4 linked regions of the Neodiprion lecontei genome follow. The protein of the gene in region 1 purifies or fractionates together with the protein of each later gene. This does not show direct contact. Links are inferred from orthologs where the notes say so. Each region holds a gene or a part of one and is shown on either strand. Other genes may lie near its edges. The genes, in order: replication protein A 70 kDa DNA-binding subunit, protein phosphatase 1 regulatory subunit 12A, DNA polymerase alpha catalytic subunit and DNA topoisomerase 3-alpha.

Region 1 (6,974 bases):
GTCATCTTCATCGTAAGAAAAAACATCCCCTTTTCCTTCTTTGGTAATTGTTCCGAGCTTAACAGCCAAAGGGTGGCCCGTGGTGCGATAGTGTTCAATGGCATGATCATTCCCACCAGTTCCGTCATAAAACTTCCGCCCGCAGAGTATTGACCCATCGGTTAAATTGAGCCATAGGTTCGTGGTCAAATCACAGTTCTCACATTTCCAGCCGCTTGGAGGAATCTTCTTTCCATTGCCCAACTGTTTTAAATTTGCGGCATGCCTGGATAATGAAAAAATAACCTGGTTTAGCCTTGGTAATAATAATTCAGTACATGTAAAGCCAACATTATCAATTTCGTCAGTTTTGTCTATTACTTTGAAACTATTCTCGCTTCTCCGTCCCAAGTTCCAGCTAAGGCTTCTGTTTCTGCTAACTTTGAGGCAGACTCTGCTTCCAATAGAGATTTTATGGCAGTTTTAACCTGGCGAATAATTTAACGATTGATTTAAATTCTTCACTGGATACTGCTTATTTGCGCACTACTTAATATAGCACATACTTGTTCAGGCAAATCATCCTTAGGATACGGTATTGTTACATAATTGGGCAATATAACAATCTCGTAGGATTCGTCATACTCGTATTTTTTAGTATCCGGTGTGAATCCTCCCACAACCCCGATCGCTAAACGGGTTATTTTTTTCTCAGGACCATCCCCTTGCTGCTCGGCAGGTATCTGTAATACGTTATAGATAAATAGTTGGAAAAATAAGTGCCATAAATGTCAGTATCCAGAAGTATATTTTTAATTGTTGTTTCACCATCTGTTTCCACTGCATTCAACGACTCTCGTAAACATATTTAGAGAAAGACTTATACGTTATGCCTTGAGAACTTAGCCGTAACATTTTGGAATAAATTTTGCAGAATGTAACTGACGTATGGTAAGCTATAATTGAAAACAAGTAAAGGAAGCATACTTACTTCTTTTTTTGATCTCTTCAAGCGAAGAAATACAGGGTTATTGGTCCTTTGATAGTAAGCATCGACATGATCCTGACCTAGTCCCAAATATGTTGTAAGATTGAGGTAGAGTCCATTCGGCGATTCCTTGTATAGAATTTATACGATTAGACTTGATACGGAAAAATGAGAGGTACAGTGCGACAGAATAAAATATGAAACTCACTGGTGTGTCAAACGAGAAAACACATTCATCTTTATATATTTTGTCTCCCCGCTGGGGTATTTTTATTTTATTTAAGTACTGTACTAGCTCGCCCATCGTGTCAAACAGTAGATCTAATTTAATATACGTGGGAAATTAATATCAGGAGGATTCTTTACGCACTAGACAGTCCGTAGTTTCATTCTTTTTGTAAATATGATGAATATAACCAACAAATATCTAGCCGGCCACAATTGATGTCAATGATTTGCGTTAATCAAAGGGAAACCGATGTGGAACCGGAAATCAACAGTCAAGCGGCGTTTTACTGCAACACATAGTTATACCTATGTATAGTTTCAAGAGATTGTCCCGGTATGTAATAGCGAATGCGAAACCGTTGGCTATGCATTCCCAAAATTAGCTGGCAGGGCTAAAAACTTCGTATGATAGAGATACAGCTACCGCCGAATTCGGCAGTGCAAAAGAAATAAGAGATTGTTGACAGCACTGGGAGCTAACACCCGTATTCATAGTCCCTCCTTATCTCAAGGATAAAGAACGCCTTGATGAAGGCTTCCTTGAATCTCGAGGCGTCCTCGTTTCATAGTCACAACTTGGCTCTCCCTTCCAGAAGGAAGACATATTTAGGGATATGTGATTGCTTATAGTGGTAAAACTGCTGATGAGAGTGTATAACCTCAAAGAAGTTAACCTGTAAACTGGCTGTGATCGCGTCATACGGGTCATAAGTGCACAGACGCCAAGCGCAAGCGCAAGCGTTGGCGACATGAAACGAAACAGCCAATCGCAGTGCCGAAGGTTTCCTCAAGGAAGCTCGAGATCTGCCTTGAAAGAAGGAGGCCAATAAGATTCCTTATTCTGTCGAGGAAGGTCTATGAAATGTGAAATGAGGAACAAGGAATCCTTGTTATTTCATTGTTTGGCGCGAAACAACTTGTCCGGTGTCTTCGAGGCACGCTTCACCAACCTCACTTCCTTTACGTTTTAATGACACTGAGCAAGTGAATCTCCTACTCCGCATCACGGTTCTTCAAACTTTCAGAGATATTTTTTGAGAATTGAACAGGTGACCGCTTCTCGTTACTCCGGAAAAATGTACGAACTTAGTGAAGGAGCCTTGGACGTAAGTTTCCTGACGTATCTTATTAACATATTCGTGTAATAATCGTTCATGTCAATGAATTTTTTCCCACAGCAAATCATGAACGGTGTCGAGGTCGAAAAGCCGATTTTACAGATATTGGTGAGCAGATCCATTCAATATTATACGTGATTCATACACTGGATACCCATAAAACAGAATTTCATTGTTAACCATCTGCCAACAGTCACGCTGAAGCATCAATCCACCAATACTCCAATCTAATAACGATCGAACAGTCGCTTAATCCACATACTTCAATTCATTCTAATACAATTGAGATTGAATTATTCTTTTAACTATTATGATACATCCTTGAAGTAAAGCGCCTTCGTTGTCTCAGATGTTTAATATTTTGTTTTCAAACTTCCCCTGTTCTATCTACTATTTCTGGAAATTCTTGTTTCGTCATAATACTTTTCTTTCAGGGACACAAAAAGCTGCAATCGGCGAGCACTCAGGAGCGCTATCGCCTCCTAGTTTCAGATGGTAAAAGAATTAACTCATACGCGATGTTGGCTACACAGCTAAACTCGCTGATTACCAACGACCAACTGACAGAGTTTTCCGTGTGCCAAGTTAATCGATACGCAATTAGTATGATCAACAATTCAGGAACACAGAAGTAAGTTCACAGGAAAACAAGTGTTACATGTTCCATATCACTATTTTTTTTTATTAGAATCGTCGGACATATTTTTTCATGGATTGCTGATGTTTTTTCTGAATTTCGGTTTACTATTTGATCAATCAGGAGAGTGATGGTCATACTCAACATTGACGTTAAGATTCCGGGCACTGAAGTGGGCTGCAAAATAGGAAATCCTACCCAGCAAGACGGCAATGTACAGAACGGAGATTCTACTCCTGCTGCCCGATCAGCAGCGCCTGTACCAAAAACTAATAATTCCTCAAATTCTGGTAAACCGTGAAAAACACTTGTGTTATTGCATGAATCAGAATCGTCGGTATTATCCAATCTTAATTAAATACTATTTTGATACTGTTAAACACTAAAAGATTCATATTTACTTATTTCTTTTTAATTAACCTTTTTATTCTTATGTTATGCTATGGCGAAACACTATTTTTTTTTTTTTTTTTTTTTAACTGAATTTGTGGCAAAATTATATATAAATCTCACTTTTAATAGTTCGTCCTGGAAGACAGCAGCAATCTTATCTTAATGATTCAGTATCCTCTGGTGCTGGTATCTCAACTACACCGATAGAAGCCCTGAGTCCTTATCAAAACAGGTAATCATGTCATTTAGCAGTTTTAGTTTTTGTGGTGTAAAAAATATGCAACTACAAATTGAAAGTTGTGTATTTACTTAACAGGTGGGTAATCAGAGCTAGAGTAGCCAATAAGTCAGCTATAAAAACGTGGAGCAATGCACGTGGCGAAGGTTCCCTCTTTTCTATGGATTTAGTCGATGAGACTGGCGAGATTCGCTGCACTGCATTCAGAGATCAATGTGACAAATTTTACAACATGATCGAGGTATGTTCAGATTAACTCATTTTCATGCAATCATTTGTGACTACTTGTGACTACGCATTAACTTGTGACTAATATCAGTTGTTATAGTAACGTAATATATTGTTAAAATTATTCAAATTTTTTTTATCAAGTTTTTCTTTCTTACTAGTTTGGAAAAATTTACTATATTTCACGTTGTCAACTGAAGCCAGCGAACAAGCAATTCAGTAATTTGAAAAATGAATACGAGATGACAATGACATCCGAAACAGAGGTTGTTCCTTGTCACGACGATTCTGACGAGATCCCAACAGTGAAGTACGATTTTGCACCAATCAGTGAAATTGATGGAAAGGAGCCGAATGCAATAATTGGTATGTTTTTGTTATTCCCATTCACGGGCCTGTGTTAAGAAATGAGATATCAAATATTTTTTTACTCGTACTGGTATATTCTTTTTTCTAGATGTGCTTGGCGTTTGCAAATCTTGTAGTGATATCACAACTGTAGTTGCGAGGACTACAAGAAAAGAGCTTAAGAAGAGGGATGTCAATCTTGTTGACGAAAGCAATACAATGGTACCAGAAGAATTTCTAGCATATCACCACAAGTTCAACATACCTAGTAAAACTGACTAATTGTCACATCTTATTCAATTCAGGTTACTCTCACATTATGGGGAACCCAGGCGGACGAGTTTGATGGATCTTCTAATCCTGTTGTTGCCGTGAAAGGTGCACGTCTTGCCGAATTTAATGGTGGAAAATCTCTGTCTACCCTTAATTCGTCAGTGCTCCAGATTGACCCAGACATTCCCGAAGCTCATAGGTACAAACTGTCAATCTTCCGATTCTCATAGCAACAGATTTGCACACAATGAGACAGTTTGACTGAATATCATTGTTACTTATTAGGCTCCGTGGTTGGTACAACACAACTGGATGCACAGAGAATGTGCATACCATTTCTAAGGGGCTGGGCGGTGGCAGTGGGGGAATGAATGGTCCGTGGTTGACGTTCAAGGAGGCTAAAGACATGCAGCTGGGCTGCAGAGAAACTCCCGACTACTTCATCGTCAAGGCAACTATCAATATGATAAGGACTGAAAACTCTCTTTACAAAGCGTGCCCGACCGATGACTGTAAAAAAAAAGTAAGTAACTCGTGATACTGATGAAGCGCGCACATCTGGAAAAATTGCCCTTAAAAATGTCACACTTTGAAACAAATGCCTCAGTGAAAGAATAATGTACCCAAATGTAGCCCAACAATAATTTTTTTTTTCCATACAACAGCTTATCGATCAGTCCAATGAAATGTATCGTTGTGAAAAGTGTAACAGGAACTATCCAAACTTCAAATATCGACTGCTGGCCAGTGTGAGTATCAAATACAATATTAGTGTGTCAATTTCTGAGAGTGCAGTCTTGTGACTCAATCATGAATATTCTTGTCTCAGATCAATCTCGCAGACTGGACAGACAACCAATGGGTAACCGCGTTCAATGAGGAGGCTGAAAAGATTTTGGGAATGACGGCACAAGAAATTGGTGAATTGAAGGATAATGATGATGAAGCGTTTCTTGAAAAGTTCGGTGAATCTGCTTTCAAAACTTTCCTTCTCAAATTGAGAGTAAAAATGGAAAACTATAGCGTAAGTCATTCAGCTTCCATTCAAATTTGTAGGTTACTTTTTCAGGATATCAAATATAATTTTTATCCAGTTCTAAATTGGAACAACTGTTTTTCAACACCTAAGCCTAAATGCCATTTGTTTTTACAGGATGAGAACAGATTGAAGTCCACCGTAGTGAATGTGACCCCGCTGGATATTAAAAGCTACAACAATCATCTGATCGCGCAAATTAAAGAACTTTCCAACATGGGCAAGGCATAAATTTTTAGCCCAAGTTTCGATTACTTAAATGTTGAAACGTTATTGTAAGGTATTATTATTATTATTATTGTTGTTATTATTGTTATTTTCACTATACCGAGCTTGTAACAGCGGTTTGTACAATTTATGCAATGCTGATTCGGTTTAATGTTATCAATATATTAAGTTAATTTATATAAGTGTCCCATGAATATTGCTACTCTAATGAATATTTTTAATTGATCACCAATATTCCACGATCTTTGCTCTATGTGCTCGAATATATTGTACCATTTATAAATACGGTATTGTTCCGAATATACCCCGAGGTTTTTTTTTTTTTTTTGTTAGCATCCGCCAAGATCGTCCTCGTCTTATATGTAGTTAACTAAGAAAAACTCCCTCAAATACTGTCTTAGAATTGGGGGTTGGCTTGTACTCTGAACAATACGGTACATATATTTACTCGTATACTTATTAAAATAAACTTCGAATTTTGCTGTAAATTTGGTCGTATTTTAACTCGAGATACGTGAACTGAAAATCGGCAGCTATGAAGAATGTTGGCAGTTATGCTGAGGTCTGATTAGCCTGGAAATTTTCGTAGGCTCACGATCAATGATAATAACTCTAACACCCCTAATACATTTATGAGAAAGCAAGTTCTGGAACTGGTAATATTTCGTATCAAGGTCGTTTTTTTTAAATTTATGGGCATATTACTAAATAAGAAAACTTGAGAAAAATTATTTTAGAATGCTTTATAAATAAAAAATTGAAGTTAAAGGAAAATGAAAGAAGTGAATTAAACATTTTTGTCAGACAGATATTTTGCTACAAAACTGATCATATCTGATAATCTTAATTCAGCAAGTCACTTACTACATTCTGATAAGCTTATGTTTCTGACTATAAATTGACAAAGTTATTTTTCTATATCTTGATAGTGTACTGATATGACACGTGTTGCTTGGAATATCTCGTATAATATAACTTAGTATAGTGTCAGTCGACATTGACAAAACAATCATGAAGAGTTCTAAAAAATTGAAACTAACTCTGCCAGATGAAAAACGTGCAACTGAATTTCCTAACACAGATCCCATTAAAATAACAGGGTTTCGAATTAACGAACACACAATTGATGGAACTGAGAAAAGGTCAGTTATTTTGAATAATAATGAAAAGCTTGTATTACTTTATACATTGTACTTACGTTTTTACACATTAATTTTCAGCCAAACAACAGAGTTAACGAAACTCACAAAATACCGACCAATTGCATATTACAAGTTGGT
Region 2 (4,634 bases), on another chromosome or scaffold:
CGGACCAATCAAACTCGTGGTTTGAGAAGAAAGCAGGCTGATAGTAGTCTGCTAGTTAGCTCGGAATCTGAATTGAGCAAGCCTTATGCGCTCGGATGTATCCAACGAACTACACGCGATACGTGTAAGAATGCAAACGTCGTGGGGGAACAAACGTCGGTCAAAAGCAGAGAAAAATAAAAGGAGAGTTTAAAAAAAATTATAGTAATGGACAATGTAATCGTAAATGTAAACTCACATTCCATTAAAGGGAAACGATAGTATCCGGTGTTGTAAAGTACTTAACAGGTTTCTATTTACGAACACACTACAACTCACTCCGGATCACTAATCACATAATTTCAATGACACTGTGCCGCCCGATCCACCACCCGTCTACCATTAGGTTTCTACTCGACTGAAGAGAGCAGAGACGTCCAGTGAGACGTCTACCAAAACGTCCAGCTGAAACTGAGCTCTTTAGGTGAGCTGAAGTTGGTTACTGGTGGTGTGCTGGGTTGAGTTCCCTAACCCTACACCAGAGGTGCGTAATTCAACTCGCTATCTCTCTCGCACGCACTGTATTCCATCAGTTATGTTTACACCCACGGTTTAGACCAGTGGTTCACAAAGAACGTATTTCGTAATGCTGGCATGGTCATTGGTCAACTGACATACCGACGTCAATTTCTTATTCTTTTCTATCTGGCGCCTTAAATAAACCCCGTAGTTACGGTAATGCAGGGTATGGACACTTGGTACTCCCCTCACTCGTTATTCGTAAGATCGGGACCAAAGCGATATCGCAACAATGGGGCAAAAGTATAGAGCATAACATTTTTTTCCGTGCCATTCTTGATTTGACAGAGGTCGTCACCACAAATACTGTATTACCAGCTACTTCCGTGATAATATAAAACTAGTTTTAAAACACTCGCTCGCTAAAGCTTGTTCGGGGTCGGACGCCTAGTGTAACTAGTTTTTGTGCTCGTGCGCTCGCTTACTCTTTGTCAGTGTTTTACCAGATGACATAGTTGTCGGGGAGACTGGGGCACGATGACTCCCCAAAAACTTCCGGTTTTTGCTTCACAAGCCGTGTTCGAAAATTGACTGACAGTATTGTCAGCAATCTTTCATCTCTTTTGCGCTTCCAAGTTCGTGGATAGCTCTGACTCTGTCTTAGGGAATTTTCGGTACTGTCAGTCAATTTTCGAACACGGCCTTTATGAACAGCGCTGCTGCTGCGTCAATTACTAGACAAATGTTAGTAATATCTAGTAAGTTACTAAACTGCTGCTGCTTTTTGCTGCCCATGAAATCCCAGCTTTACCGAAAGCACTTGGGGACTCGAGGAGTGTGTTCGAAAATTGACTGACAGTACTGTCAGTACTGAAAATATTATAGTCCAAGTGACCTATACTGTAGATTTTCAGTACTGACAGTACTTTCAGTCAATTTCCGAACACGCCCAATATGTGTGTAAAACCGCCGTACGGTAGGCAACTCAACTGACAGAAAAGAGTAACGAATGTTAAGCTAGACAAGTCTGCCGTGGATAGTTTGTGTTTTGACCACGAATTTGAGGTAGCGCGTGGGTTGTGCGGCCGAGTCATTCCGAGTCGGCCGAGCGATTCCGAGCAGTTCCAAGAATAGCCTAGCACGAGTTTAGAGGTGCCTCGGCGTCGGGCGACCGCTCCCTCCATCTACAGTGGACAGAAATCGTATGGGGGCTGGTAGCGAGCAAGTGAAGTGAGTGTGAGTCGAGAGTGTGGATCAAATAATGTCTCTAGAGACTCGATCAAGTTCGGCTCTTTTCAAGAGGGCCGAACAGTTAAAGCGTTGGGAAACGTCGGAAACAAATCGCGAACCACCCCACCCAAGGCAGATTGATCGTAAGATTAAATTCTCCGCGGACTGTGTGTATTTAGCAGCATGTGCAGCGGGCGACAAGGAGGAGGTGATTCGTTTGTTGCAGAAGGGGGCCGACATCAACACCGGGAACGTAGATGGATTGACAGCCCTCCACCAGGTAATCCGAACCCTGCTCGCCTCCCTTCTTTTCGCCTCCCGTCGCCGTTTCGCGATTTCGGTTCCTGCGGCACAGGAGAATCGTCTATTTAAACCCGGTCAGTCGGGATACTGACGGGTTGGTATATCGTCCCGAGAAAGACGTATGTGTGTCTAAGATGGCCGCGGTTTACTCCAGCTGTCTCCTTAATCGCAAACAACGGCGTTCCGCTTACGTGGATTTCCCTCAATGGAGCCAGATTTCATTCCTCCCTCGACCATCGTTCGTATAACTCAACGATTACCTCGTCCGCTCCGATACTGAGCCTGTTAAATTTAGGAATTCCTTCGAGTGGTCGCCACTGGCACGGTTCGCACACTGAATCCCCCTCCCCCCACCCACCCGCAATCCCTCACTTGCTGTTCACATGTGTGTCTCTCGGTTTGCTCCTGACGTGCGTCAAGTCGGCCGCTCCTCCGTCTCCTCCTCGTCTCTTTACATGCGCTTCTTCATTCCTATTCAATTTTTCGTTTCTGCCAGCTGCACACCTGTGAGGTGTATCGATTGTGCGTTCTGTCACCTGGCCAGTTCCATCGCTTATCGCTTGAAATCGGTGTTACACCTTCTCGTAGCTGACTGTCAACTCTCGTATTGCTAAACATGGCGTACCAAGCTTCTGAGACGATGACCCTTTTCCAGGGCTGCAAAAGCACCGAGTAACCTTATCTAAGTTGTCGACGATAGTTTTAGGCACCTGTTCTTGTCCCAATTCTTTGTTTACTTTGAAAACAGCACACGTCACATTGACTTTTTGACAATATCGCTGACAACAAGTTGAAAAACATTAAAATTCAAAACAACAACGATACAGTGTTTTTAGAAAAGATAATTATCATCTTATCGCTTAAGACGTAGTTCCTATAAGTAAGATAACCGAAATTCTCAACACAGCTGGTAAGCTGAGACGTAATGTGGCAATGAACGAAATTCATTCTTCGAAATTCTAAATGGAAATCATCAGAAGTTACTGATTCTTAATATCAAGTAATTTTCTCTTTGGAAGTCAGGGAAAATATCTGGATTCATTGGTAAGCGTTCATCAGACTTCCAGTATATGGGACACTAGTAATCTGCTATAATTGAATTTCTTCCGTTTTAGATTTTCAGAAAAAAACTCAAATGCATCCGGTGTTTCATCAGTTACTGTAATTTACTTCTATGCTGGGTGCTAGTATGCAACAACGTAGTTTCTTTCGTTAATAATTAGAATTTGAAATTAAATTTTCTTCAGTGTTATCCCATTTTACCCACCGAACGGTAAGCTGAATGCATTACATCGGCTTGTGCCAGTTGGCTATGGGCATGTCAAATCACTCGAATAGTAAGGAACAGAGTAGTTTATACTGTATACGTGGCTTAATGCAATATCTGATGGTATCCAGTAATTAAATTTCTACCGCAGAATATGTTCAATGTTTCTCTTCGACATTTGGTTTTATGAATTTTCTCTTATACGAAAGAAATTTTATCCCTGAAAGAACGGAAATGTAAATAAATATCAACGAACGCATGGCCAAGGATAAATTCTTCCTAATTTGATTTTCATGTTTTTCGTTATCCAGAACAGTTGAAGTGAAATTTTCTTTTTACCTTACTAATATTACACTAAACGTAAAAACTGAGAGATAAAAGACTCATGAACTTGAGCCAGGAATGAACTCGCTGACGTATGCAAAATTGGCCATTCATCATTTATCTTTATAGTTTGGATAATGTATTAGTCGACCTATTCATCGAGTCATTTGCGAGTCGACCTGAAAATAATATATGCCAACTACCGTATCTCGTAATAATGGTAACGAAACATTTGCTGGCGTGATAGAAATATTGATTGATATTCATGCATATAGATAAATTTGAGTTGGAGCAACTTATGTCCATGATATATACATGCACGATATCGTACAGACTAAGAACAGCGAATTAGTTATTCCGTCAAACTTTGTAATGGCCAGTTGAAGAACATGCCAAATAACATAATATATTAATGATATATTGTAATTCAAAGTAAAAACATGCTTGTTTCTCTAACACAATACACTATCCATTGGAGAAGATACATTACCGAAAGTGCAAACTCCTTGTAATTGTACCAGGTCTCAACCAATACCCTTGTGGGAAGTACCTGGTAAATCGAATTGATTGTGAGATGTTAAACCGAATGATATTGAAAAGAGGTTTGTTCTGCAAACATATATCTACGTCGCAATTCCCTCCAGTGGTACTCAGACAAATTTTACAATTATTTGAGCATCCAGAATCGAATAAAAGGTGACTGCGCTTATGAAAGAAAAACGTACACGGAGCTGTAAAATCCAAGATATTGCACAGCGAAACAATGATATGAGAATACACTTGTCCCAACCTTGCTAAATTTCTGCTTCCTCAAGGTTAATTATTTTGAAAATTTATTTTCCTGGTTCTAATGGGCATATCAATTCACTTTCTATTGTGTCAGTTAATGGAGCTAAATATCGTCTCAGAGGAGTTAGAAATTAGGGCTCGGTATTTGGTTTCATCAATGCAGAAAACTCAGTAATGTACGCGTACACATTTTTCAAAGTTCATAAATTTCGGGGTCTTTAAC
Region 3 (4,872 bases), about 14 Mb from region 1:
TTTTCCGGTTTTCCAGACGGGTGGCCACCCTGTCTTTCAAATTTTGTATGAATTACGTATATTTTGTTATTTTCAGAGCTTGTTTTCACGGATATCATAAGACAGATGCACAGGTAAGCCAGCCACCTCCAGTTGTCAGCCACTTACAAATTTAGTCCAAAATAATATCGATACTATGCTTAATTTAAACAAAATTTGTATGCTTTTGTGATTTGTAATCTTTGCTAAGATAGATGTGACTTATATTTTGTACAACAATCTGTACTGCAAAAAATAATACATTAAGCATTAAGGGTGGGAGAAGAACATTGCGTAGCAGGTTGTGTCATACGCAGTAGTTCGGATGGAAAAAAAAAAACTTGTTTGATTGCACATCGAAAGCCTTGAACTTGAAGAAAGCCGCCTGATCATTCCATTCATCATTATTTAAATTCATATTGTATAGTTATATTGGAGGAACAAATTATTTCGGTCCGTTTTTTTCGCTCAAAAAATGCATTTATTTCAAAAGATAATGAATTAACAAATTAATCAAAATATTGTCCATCACTGCTTACAACTTTTCCCCACCTCTCAGGCAATTTCGGAATCCCGTGTAAGAAAAACTTCTCGTCTTTTGCGGCAATCCCAATTTTGAAGCCAATTTTCGATTTCTTCGAAACAAGTGAAGCGGTGACCTGCCAAATCGTGTTGCATCCGTCGAAACAGTCCGTAGTCAGAAGGAGTAATGTCCGGAGAATGTGGCGCGTGCGGTAAGAAATCCCATTTGTTCGTTTCTAAATATTTTTTGACAACTTTTGCGACATGAGGCCGAGCGTTGTCATGCAAAAAACTTTATCATGTCTTTCCTTATATTCCGGTCGTTTTTCTCGTAATGCACGGTTCAAACGAAGTAATTATAGTCTCGTTTTGCGTTTGACTCGGATCTTCATTGAGTAATGCCTGTAATTCATCGTCTACGAATTTCAGCTGTCCCGAGCGAGGTCTATCTTCAACGCTGAAATCACCACTTTTGAAGCGCCAAAACCATTCTCTACGTGACTTGTCAGTTGGAGCATTGTCACCGTAAACTTTCACAAGCATACGATGAGCTTTAGCTGAACTTTTTTTCCAATTAAAACAAAAAATTAAAACTTCCCACAAATGGTGTTCAGTTATCAAAAAAAGTGACATTTTCAACAGCGTAACAAAAAACGTTTTATATGAAACTCACAACAATACAAACTGGATGTTATCGGCAGGTGTCCAATTTGTCTAAAACCAGGGCAATCAGCTGTTACTACTTAAAAATTGAATGTTTTTAGAGCCACGTTTATAGATCCATCTTTTGAGAACGGACCGAATTAATTTGTGCCCCCAATACATAAATTGTGTGTTGAAAATTACGGTATGCAAAGATGACCAACTATCGGCGCATCTACCCTACTGAAAAAAACGAAAATAATTGTTAACGTTCTTCAGCAATGCAAATACGTTACATGTGTCCGGCATTCCTTTAAGTAAAATTTAAAGTATCACAGAAACCTTGAAAATAATTAATCCAAGGTGGTGTTTCGAGTTGCAACTTGGAGTAACACAGCTTGAGTATTTGTTTGTGAAATAATTGGTTCAACAATTTGTAAACCAGCGAAAGTGGATTACATTTTAATGAATTGGAGTTTCTTTTGTCGTTCTATGGCCAATAGTTTTTTTAAAATCGTATTACCCGATACTTGGTCTGTGATGACAAATCAATTGTTCTGTACAATCATTTTTCATCATGGGATTAAATTCCTAACTTAACGAAGCATTTAAAAGAAAAACTATTATTTCATAACCTGAGCATTTCCCAGGAATTCATAAGCCGCATTGAAGCAAAACTTTTTCATATTTTGGAAACTTAATTCCTTTAGAAGTTATTTTGAAATAGTAAAATATTAACTTTTGTCTCAATGTTTCATCACGATAACATGACTAACTTCGACCTCGTGCCCTTATGCTATTATAATAATTTTGAAATTTGTATTTAGTAGAGCAGTTGTATAATGCAGGTTATGAAAAAAAAATCTCGATATTAGTAGGACTAATAATTGGTAGATACAAGATACGGAATACAGTCGATTCAAACAGCATGGTAAAAACTCATTTCGTTAGAAATTTATTAGTGGTCAAAATATTGTATTTTTAGAAAAAGTTTGTAGGATCAGTAATGCATCCCCTTTACTATGTACATAAGGTTACGTATTTCCACAGTTATCAAACTGCAGATCTTCACAAAAGCTGACCATAACTTGCATATGAGACCGAAATTTGTAACATTTGGATAACCAAATAATGTCGAAAGAAAAATTACCATTCTATAGCTTCGGTATATCTTTGAAGGACTTGAATGGGCAAAACATGAGTGAATTGATGCTCCATTACAGTTTACCGGATTTCAGACCATCCTCAAATTGCGAAATAGCAATTATCAAAATCGCATGGTCACATTGACGTTACGAGTTTCAATCTCACATAATCCGATGGTATCGCAGTGGTCTCTAAGCTAGTATGGGGCGAGTTATAACAGGTGACACCGGTGACATTAATCGTGACAAAGAATGCAATGGATATGTGACGATATCGAGATTGACAATAATAAGGTTTTAGGATATCTATAGATCTTCGTCAAGCCAATAATTTTAAAATGGATTATTTGTCGAGGGAATACGACTTGACATTGAAAAATGCACGTTAAATTAGAAAGACTTACATGCAGGTTCATCCATGCTGATGTAAGAGCGAAACAAACGAACAATCCAAACGTCATAAAGCTAACACTAACACTCCACAACGGAACACTCTGCGTTCTATGGAGCGAATAAGAAGATCATAAAATCATAATCTACACCACAGATCAGGAGGGAAGCAGAAAATATGATTTATAAAACACGTGGCTGCTAAGAGCCGAGCAACTGCACCGACGTGTAAACAAAATTTCACAACCTACTACAGTAAAATTAGCGGGAAAATTGCCGCAAGGTGCCAACCACTGAAAAAGATGGTAAGAATACTACCAACACTCATTACACTGTTAAGATGGAAAAAGAAAGATCTGCCTCCTGACGGGTCAAGTTAAAACTAATAAGAGAAGCAGGTAGAAAACAGGTCAATATTATACCTATACTTAGGCCGTCATTGACACCCAAATAAATTGATTTCTTTTTAATTCTTTGTTGGTCGTTTGTTGATGTTTGATGATGTATTCCCATGTCTGATAGTCAATGGTTTAGTCGTTATTACTAAAACAAATTTAGCTAGAGAATTCAAGTCGTTGACGGAGGACCTTATAAAGGTTTCTCTCTGGTTAGAACATGTATGGGTGCCTTCCATTTACTGACTCAAATCGACTTGTGTCGCTATTTCTGGTGTAACCGGCCAATCTGGGCAAAGGAATACACCAGAAATAGCGACACAAGTCGACTTGAGTCAGTAAATGGAAAGCACCCAACGTATATGGGTGCTATTTCATGAGCAGTAAAAGGCAGCAGCAGCAGCAGTTTTCCCCTATCACTTCCGGCGCAAGTTTCTGCTGCTCGCAGTTTAGTTTTTCGAGCGACAAGCCACAAGATCACAAGAACAGTCGACCTATTTCATGAGCAGCGCTGCTGCTGCGTAAAATTACCAGACTGATGCTAGTGAAAACTACTAAGTTACTAAACCACTGCTGCTTTTTACTGCTCATGAAGGCCGTGTTCGTAAATTGACTGCCAGTACTAAAAATTCCCTAGGACAGAGACAGAGCTGTTCATGAACTCGGCAGCGCAAAATAGGTGAAAGATGGCTGACAGTACTGTCAGTCAATTTTCGAACACGGCCGAAATAGCACCCTATGGCCGTGTTCGTAAATTGACTGACAGTACTGAAAATTCCCTAGGACAGAATCAGAGCTATTCACGAACTTGGAAGGGCAAAAGAGATAAAAGATTGCCGACAGTACTGTCAGTCAATTTTCGAACACGGCCTATATGTACAGGATCAAGGTCCCTAGATTAGACAGGTCAAGACACGCATGGTCAAAATAATTAGTGAGAATGCGCCAAAAGTTTCGTATGACAATAGATGGTTTCCATTTAGAGCACAATATGACACGGTGTAAACATTTCTGGTCTATTTCTTTGCCCGGGTTGGCCGCTTACAATAGAAATTTGTACACTGTGTCACACTGTGCTCTAAATGGAAAGCACCCGGTGTGGTTCTGATTCCTGACCTGTCACAATGATTAACCTCAAAATATATACGTGCTTCTATTTATTTCGTGAACGTCAGGACACGAAGGGCGCAACTCGTTAATGCTGAACCTCAAAAAATTGAGCAAGATTGGTCAAAACTGGTTAATGCGGTAATGTAAATTTGATATTTTTTGGGCGAACGCGCATAGAACATTTTTGCCCACGTTATAGTGAGAAAAACTGGAACACACGTGTCTTGACCTGTCTAATCTAGGGACCTTGTACAGGATAAGCCAGCAGTGCTGCCAGTGCTGCCGCGTAAGAGAATCTTGCAACAGCCAATCATTGCTCAGCTTACCAGAGAAATTCAGAAAGCATCATAACAATACGATTCTTCGGTTCTTCCCAACAATGCATCGAGAGGATGCGTAAAACATCCTAAGCATCATAAGCATCATCTAGCGAGCCCAATGAAAAATCAAATTTTAATTAACTGTGTGAAAAATGTCAGCAATTCTGAAGGAAAAATCCGGATGTATAACCGAAGAGCAAAAAACTGCTAAATCGGTAGCGTCTGAAAGTGAGAATAAACATATTGCTTGAATTAATTCAAGACCTAGTGCAATACCTCTCGCAATATTTATATCTACTTCATTATTTTGTTAGTTACCCGTGTTCATTT
Region 4 (7,017 bases), on another chromosome or scaffold:
CAAGATGGACTCTTGGTTGTTTATACAAACATAACCAACAATATTCTTGACATTTCATCGAGGTGTGCGAAACATGCCGTTGTTTTCAAACAAGTTTTCACCCAAAAAAACGCCTACTAGAAGAGCATTCGTTTCGTTGGCAAACAAGGATCTTAGCCCTAAAAGGATCGAAAAAGAATTAGGGCCTGATGTTGGACCCATACGTTTGCGACTCGGTGACCAAGAGACTGTATTCGACAGTGGACAGTGGATTCCTGGTAAATTCAGTCGAGCCCAATCTCAGAATACTTTTCCATTTTCCATTTCTTCATTTTCATAGAATCTGGCAAAGTTGGTGGAACTTACAAAGAGAATGAACGACTCCGAAAGGAAGTGAAGAAGCTTGAAGAGGAGAATAATATTCTGAAGCTAAAGTTCGAACTAATGCTTGACATGGTAATTATCCCTCTACTGTAATAAAAAGTCGTAAATGATGTCGTTAGTGCTATTAGTAAATTACACTCTCATTACTGTTATCTCTGTTTATTGGCTCGTTGTATCTCTGGGACACCAACAATACGCGTACAATTGTTTTAACGCAGTAGAAAAAAGATAGCGTATTACACCGTTCTTTATGAAAAATGAAACTAATGTTACAGATTTGATCGTTAATTTTTTTCTAGCTGACGCAAACGACAGCAGAGTCTAATTTATATGGCAAAGAACTCGACGCTCGTAAAGATAAACCGTCACACTCGAAAAGTACTTAGGTAATTACACATAATATCACATTTTTACAATTAAACTATCAAAGTCTTGAAGATTTTTCTTATTATTAAATTGATTCAATAAATTGTCTTAACCCGCATCATTTTGTGAACAGGTACGTCTGGTATGACCTGAAATATCGATAATTAAATTATCCATTTGGTAAATAAGTGTGGTAATTGTATACATCAAAAACATACCTTCTTGTCCGCAAAGACCGCACTTCCTTTTACTTGGATTTCTTGCTCTAGGAAGATTTGCATTTTGTGTATTTCTACCTCCTCGAAAGCCCCCTGTGTGTGTTCTCTGTCCATTATCGCATGAACCATCATCGTCATTTTCATCAGCCCATTTAAAAAATTTACATGTAGTGCCTATTCCTTGAGGGCATCCATAAAATTCTCTTCCTTTGTTAGGACCTTCCTTGTGTACGGTAAGTCTGTGGATATTACAGAGAGCAATTGGTGCTGGTAGAATTCGGATGTGCATTAAAATTTGAAGTAAGTCATTCCATTGGTGGACTCACTTTCTTGCCGGTTGCCCACACGTGCAGGTAATGCCTTGAGATGACGATGATCCGCCAGCTTCTCTATCGAACCTCATATTAGTTTGGCTCTGCTGTGTTTGATTACTATAGCTGCTATTGGTATTCCGAGATGGTTGCGAATGATTTCTGTTTGCATTATCATTGGGTAGAGCATTTTCTGCAGCCCAGAGAAAGAAGTCACAGCTGTTTTCTTGCGGTTTGGCACATTTGTAGAATTGTCTTCCTGCGGAAATTATTTTCAGTAAAAAATAAACAGAGAGCAAAAAATGTGTTACTAAGGTAATACTGTATTTCCAACTTACCTTTATTTGTCCCCTCTTTACGTACAGTAAGCTCTATTGCTCTTTCATGACAGTTACAGAGAATCGTGTCATCAGTCTCCATATTCTGTTGATTCTGATTACTAGACCGATTAGAAAACTTATTATGTCGTACAGAAGTCGTCGAAGGTGCAGAGCTCCAAGTAGACACCCCAGAATCAGTACGGCTTGTGTCATTTGCTCTAGAATTATTTATCTGGCCATTAGGTTGCCTTTGTGCGTTTTGCCGTGTTTGATTTGCTCTAGGATTTTGATTTGAGTTTGTTTGCGGTGCTCCACCATTACCAGCTTGTGGCACATTTTGTACGCTATGTGTTCGAATATCAAAAGTCTCATTGAGCACTGTATCACATCCTCCTATACAAGAGGTGTAAGAGGTTCCAAGATGCGGCAGGGTACCTTGGCGCAAGGTAAACTTAAGTAATGGCATATTACCTGGACACTAGAAATAGAAACAATCTAATCAATCTCCATCTTGATACTACACACTAGAAATTCCGAGGCCCAAAGTTTTTTAATGATTATTTGTTAATTGTTTAACTTACCCTGTTACACTTGTTATTCAAAACTTCTATATTCTCAACAGTGGTTGGAAACCATATCGAATTATTACATGTCGGAAACGCCATGCAGCCAATATATTTGCCAGGAGAGTTCCTTCGATCCTTTAATAACATATTACTCCCGCACTTTGGACACTTGTATACAATTATATCTGGATCCGGGTTTGCTATTTCAGCATGCTGCACCTGCGCTGGTTGCTCGTCAAGATAGTGTGCAAGCGCTTCGTCTATTAATCCAGCCTGCCGTAACGTTGCTGTGAATACTGTTTTATACCTGGATATTTGATCCTGCAAAACATCCGCTGGCTGTTTCACACCGTCGCATATTCTGAAAGAAATTATTTATTTCTCTTTTATTTCATTATAATGATATTTTATTTCATAACTAGTTGATATTTCACCCACAGCTTTAAATCGTTTTCGAGTCCTGCTCTGAGGTGTGGTTTGGACATATGAAAGCCCATACTGTCGTAGCCCATGACCAATCCAATCCCGAGCTTTCCGGGAATGAAATACTTTTGATCCTTCAGGCCCACGTATTGCCTTGATTTTATTTTCTCGATATGTTCAGCGTGAGTTGCATCAGTGCCAATTCCGTGCTTATCCATTAAAGCAATTAGGTCAGCTTCTGTTAGCAAGTTTGGAGGTGAAGTTTCCCCATCAACCATTTCAATGCCAGTGGGTCTGAAAGTTTGTCCCTCTTCGTATGCATGGATTTCTTTTGCATTCCACGTTTCGTACGGGTACACTTCTAAGTAATTTTTGGCAATTATATGAAGACCACTTGCTATAAATTTTTCCTGCGCAATATCAATGTGAACAATGGTCTCTTGACCTTCTGCATCCTTTGATATACAGGCCAAAAAATGACGAACTATAAACTCGTATACACGAGCCTCATTGCCTGTAATAAAGTGGATTCTTGATTTAAAAAATTGTTATACAGTCAGAAAATTACTCCAAGCGGAAATTTTTACAAATTTTTGGGAAAATTGATCGTTTTCCAAAATTTTTGAAATTTTCAAACCATGATTACGGTCTAGACTAATAGTAAAGTTGATAAAGTTTTGTAACATACCTCCTAAAGTAGCAATGTACTTCGTAGGATGAATCGGAGGGTGAGCTCCATCATTTTTTTTCCCTTGACGTGGGAAAGGCCCGTTTTGCAGTATTTGTTGTGCAAACGGTCCCCACTGTGGACTTGCAGATTGATGTTCGACTAGTGGCACAAGATTGAGTTCCTTGGGAAAAATGTTAGTTTCTGTACGAGGGTAGCTGATAATACCTTGAGTGTACAGTTTCTCTGCTATTTTCATTGTCTCCTTTGCGTTTAGTTTCAACTTGCGTGAACCCAATTTGGCTAATTCCTATAAAATTAATACAATTGAAGTGTATCGGTTGTCATATAATAATAATTTACATAAATCAGTTGTACTAACGACGGTGTCCAATGGCAGCGGTCTCCATTTGCTTTTCGGTTTGCACGTAACTTTTTCTACAGTTGCAGTAGGAGATTCTAAACACATGTCCAGAAATATCTGGCACGGAAGGCGTTCAAACAAACGATTTCTGTCCCATCTAAATTCCACCAATATTCCATCACGATCGTCCGTGACTTTGATTTTCCAAAATGGCTCTGACTTGAAATTTTCAATTGCGAGAAACCTCTCTACTACAAAACCCAGGGTTGGAAACTGGCAGCTGCCATAGCTGATTAACATCTCAGCTAGCGTTTGTGGAAAAACCTTTTGAAGTCTCATTGTTTGAAATCGTGTAAATGCAGCTCCTGTTGGGATAACGTTGACATATTTAACCAATACAACTCTAGCCACATATCATCGTTTGATTAATTAAACAATTAAATTACCTATTCTCAAGTCCAATTCGCTCCTAACGTCGACAGCATCGCTTATGGCTTTGTTCGGTATTCCTAAATTATGAAGTGCTCGAGTCACCGATGGAGCAGTTATTTCCGAAAATTTTGCTCTGAAAAAAATAGCCAAGTAAAGATATACTTCGAACTGGTAGTAACATTTATTGACAGTTTTGACCTTGCCAATAACTACCGGTATATCTTAATGGTGGGCTTCACAGCTTGGCAAACTTGTATAACTTCAAAGCCTATGTTTTCACCCTCTCGATCGCAATCTGTCCATATAATCAGTGCCTGGCAACCCTTAGCCTCCCTCTCTAAGGTTTTTTTTATTTTCATAAAATTCTCCTCGCACTGCTTAACCACAGGTGCTTCAAATAGAGATAGTGGATTACATCCCTGCCAATTACGATATCCTCCGACAAATTCATGATTCAACAGGTGACCAGATACCGACGTCATTATCATTTTGCACTGCTGGCCCCATAGCTGGGTATCAAATTCGTAGATCTTGTTATATACTGATAGTCCTTCTCGCTGAAAATAATTGACTTTACTAGTACTATTGGCGTGTTAATTGTTTATCTGACCAGTTACGATATTTCAGAGTTTGGCAGCAAGTGGTGTTGTGAATTTTACAGATGAAAAAACAAAATAGAAACCAATAGTTACCCGATGCGAAGACCCACGTGAAAGATAGCCAGCTATACCTTTAGCTGCGTCATTTTTTTCAGCAACATTCAACACCTTCATGACGTTTTTACCGCTATTGTACAGCTCTTTGACAGTATCACTGCTACTTAATTTGGCCAGTTGAATCCATGTAGTTCTTAAATCTATAAACAAATATTTCTTAACCTTTATCTTCGTAATTTTCGATGTAAATTTCATGCGGACAAGTAAAAGCGAAGAAATAAAGAAGAAATAGACGTTAACGAAATACTTTTGACTTGATAAGATTAGATTATTGCCGCAATCAATCGTTTGGAATTAACCAAAAATACTCGGTGATTAGAGAAGTGTTTTGTTCACATTCTACTCACCAAAAACTAGCCGGTTGATCTTTGTTTGTAATACAAAATGCATTAAGCAGTTGCGGTATACTGAAAAGTAGAAAACATGAGTGAAAAAAACTCCGAAGCTTAGTGAATTTACGTAAACCTAAAGCATACTTTTTCAAATTAATATTAACTTAAAATAAATTATAAAATAAATCGAAAGTGTGTGTTGACATTTGTTTTCGGTTATGTAGAACTCTGTAGAACTCCAGAATCATGGCGTCTGCTATGCTGCGCAGAATTGCTGGAACAATTTTCTCCGAATGTAATTTACTAACGCCAAGGTAACGTAGATTTTTCACACTGCTTAAAGTAAGCTATATTTTATTGTAGTTGTGATTCGCTTTTTCGTCTTTCAACCTCTTTAGATTAATCAGCTATACAATAAAAAGAAAACCCATTTCTATTTGAGGTTAGGTCGCTTCTTGTCTACCCGTTTATTGCACCATAATACGCAATATTGTCCTGCAACCATTAATATCAGTTCGTGATACTAGAATAACTGGATTTAACTTTACTTGCAGAAAACTATCGACACCGATAGGTTGGAGAACCTTGGCCAACGTTTCAAATAAATCAAAGGATTACAAAAATGAGGAACAATATGAAGAGCCATTGCGATTCACCGGTAGTAAGGCTGATACTTGGATAGCTATGAAATCAAGAACGGGAAAAATATCGGATGAACCTTGGTACCAGATGTACGTTGTGATTGCGAGCACAGCTGCGTTTCTTATATATTTCGGCATTCTAAGGGAAGAAAGCGACATCGATAGACACTTTGATTTAACGCTTTATGATCACATAGAGGGTCTAGAAGAAGTTCAATTAAGAGCTGTCCTAAAGTTTAATCGGGAACGTAATCTTGATACAAAAGAAATAGAGGCGAGATTGAGGGAAATCGAAAAACAAAAAATGGACAAATAGTGTCTGCCGTATTTAGTTTCATTTAATCCTACACTTCGATTGTATGTCCGAAAAATTGAGTTCCGCTCTAGCTGTTAGTATAAATAAACGAGTGCTTCTTTTGTGGCATGGAAATTGCTTGGCAATATTCCCATAACCTGTAAATAATCTACAGTATACTACATAATATACAGTAAACAATAATAAATAATGAAATGAGATAGAAATAGCAAAAACCATCAATCATTTATTAATAGTTTCTTAATACATGGAGCGGTTATTTACAATGGGTACAAAAGCTGACCCCAAAACACATTTCTCACAATTTTACCCCACTCAACCGGCAGGTGAGGGTTTATCGTCTCTAGAATGCAACGTTTCCAAGTTTCACCCCATGGAGATACAACTGTTGACACGATTAGGGTGGTAGGACCTTCTCCACTTCTGGGATATATCTTCATGTTTATTGTACCTGGAACAGCATTGGAAATTGCACATGAAATACCGTCTATGCATCAAATCAAAATAATCTATTATCGGCTCTACTTACTGCTCATAACTGGGGAACGAATAAGCCATTTTACAAAAGCATAGACTGGCAGAACTTGTAAGTAAAACTTAAGTCTGGTGAGAAATCCACCTAGGCCTATTAGGACGAGTCGAAGCTATGGAAAGAAAATAGATCTACCCGATTTACTTGTGATACACTCGAGTAAGATTTTGTTTAATAATTCTTTCTGTGATTTCAATTGATTTCGAATTTAATTGGTTTTTGTTTCATTACTCACAATAGTGAAAACGGAGTAGTAAACCCATGTTGTTGGCATTAGAAACAGGAGGATAGTGAACAGCAATGTTCCAACAAACAATTGATCAGCCTGATACTGACATGAATCCACTCTCTCCCTTAATGGATTCTTCTTCTTTCCAAGGAACAAATGGAACAGTGCCATCAGGCCTCTCAGCTGCATATTGAACAGTCTGTATTTGACCGAGATCATTA

Evidence for each region.
Region 2: the proteins of replication protein A 70 kDa DNA-binding subunit (region 1) and protein phosphatase 1 regulatory subunit 12A fractionate together in Homo sapiens (co-fractionation; 3 studies listed by BioGRID, with this or other methods). This does not show direct contact. The link is inferred for Neodiprion lecontei from reciprocal best matches to the Homo sapiens genes RPA1 and PPP1R12A.
Region 3: the proteins of replication protein A 70 kDa DNA-binding subunit (region 1) and DNA polymerase alpha catalytic subunit purify together in Homo sapiens (affinity purification with mass spectrometry; 3 studies listed by BioGRID and IntAct, with this or other methods). This does not show direct contact. The link is inferred for Neodiprion lecontei from reciprocal best matches to the Homo sapiens genes RPA1 and POLA1.
Region 4: the proteins of replication protein A 70 kDa DNA-binding subunit (region 1) and DNA topoisomerase 3-alpha purify together in Homo sapiens (affinity purification with mass spectrometry; 4 studies listed by BioGRID and IntAct, with this or other methods). This does not show direct contact. The link is inferred for Neodiprion lecontei from reciprocal best matches to the Homo sapiens genes RPA1 and TOP3A.

Annotation. Positions count from the first base shown.
Region 1 is NC_060264.1:2,098,245-2,105,218, forward strand, and holds replication protein A 70 kDa DNA-binding subunit, read left to right. Parts: upstream 1-1,979; 5' UTR 1,980-2,271; coding exon 2,272-2,301; intron 2,302-2,373; coding exon 2,374-2,421; intron 2,422-2,747; coding exon 2,748-2,944; intron 2,945-3,073; coding exon 3,074-3,240; intron 3,241-3,472; coding exon 3,473-3,575; intron 3,576-3,659; coding exon 3,660-3,822; intron 3,823-3,970; coding exon 3,971-4,175; intron 4,176-4,266; coding exon 4,267-4,379; intron 4,380-4,462; coding exon 4,463-4,629; intron 4,630-4,715; coding exon 4,716-4,953; intron 4,954-5,095; coding exon 5,096-5,179; intron 5,180-5,259; coding exon 5,260-5,454; intron 5,455-5,583; coding exon 5,584-5,697; 3' UTR 5,698-6,468; downstream 6,469-6,974. Other genes in the region: ubiquitin carboxyl-terminal hydrolase 5, read right to left, coding at 1-265, 361-467, 546-722, 971-1,096, 1,176-1,271; ATP-dependent translocase ABCB1-like, read left to right, coding at 6,706-6,836, 6,915-6,972. UniProt on the Homo sapiens protein: As part of the heterotrimeric replication protein A complex (RPA/RP-A), binds and stabilizes single-stranded DNA intermediates that form during DNA replication or upon DNA stress.
Region 2 is NC_060261.1:7,037,565-7,042,198, reverse strand, and holds the start of protein phosphatase 1 regulatory subunit 12A, read left to right. Parts: upstream 1-1,605; 5' UTR 1,606-1,759; coding exon 1,760-2,008; intron 2,009-4,634. UniProt on the Homo sapiens protein: Key regulator of protein phosphatase 1C (PPP1C). Mediates binding to myosin. As part of the PPP1C complex, involved in dephosphorylation of PLK1. Capable of inhibiting HIF1AN-dependent suppression of HIF1A activity.
Region 3 is NC_060264.1:15,990,636-15,995,507, reverse strand, and holds the start of DNA polymerase alpha catalytic subunit, read right to left. Parts: upstream 3,037-4,872; 5' UTR 2,748-3,036; coding exon 2,732-2,747; intron 1-2,731. UniProt on the Homo sapiens protein: Catalytic subunit of the DNA polymerase alpha complex (also known as the alpha DNA polymerase-primase complex) which plays an essential role in the initiation of DNA synthesis.
Region 4 is NC_060263.1:2,644,337-2,651,353, reverse strand, and holds DNA topoisomerase 3-alpha, read right to left. Parts: upstream 5,067-7,017; 5' UTR 4,942-5,066; coding exon 4,723-4,941; intron 4,588-4,722; coding exon 4,244-4,587; intron 4,164-4,243; coding exon 4,045-4,163; intron 3,964-4,044; coding exon 3,617-3,963; intron 3,545-3,616; coding exon 3,256-3,544; intron 3,082-3,255; coding exon 2,583-3,081; intron 2,506-2,582; coding exon 2,160-2,505; intron 2,057-2,159; coding exon 1,597-2,056; intron 1,518-1,596; coding exon 1,274-1,517; intron 1,187-1,273; coding exon 948-1,186; intron 915-947; exon of another isoform or gene 879-914; coding exon 838-878; 3' UTR 750-837; coding exon of another isoform or gene 663-749; 3' UTR 507-662; downstream 1-506. Other genes in the region: uncharacterized protein LOC107225596, read left to right, coding at 5,325-5,392, 5,633-6,035; phosphatidylinositol N-acetylglucosaminyltransferase subunit Q, read right to left, coding at 6,296-6,492, 6,565-6,679, 6,803-6,995. UniProt on the Homo sapiens protein: Releases the supercoiling and torsional tension of DNA introduced during the DNA replication and transcription by transiently cleaving and rejoining one strand of the DNA duplex.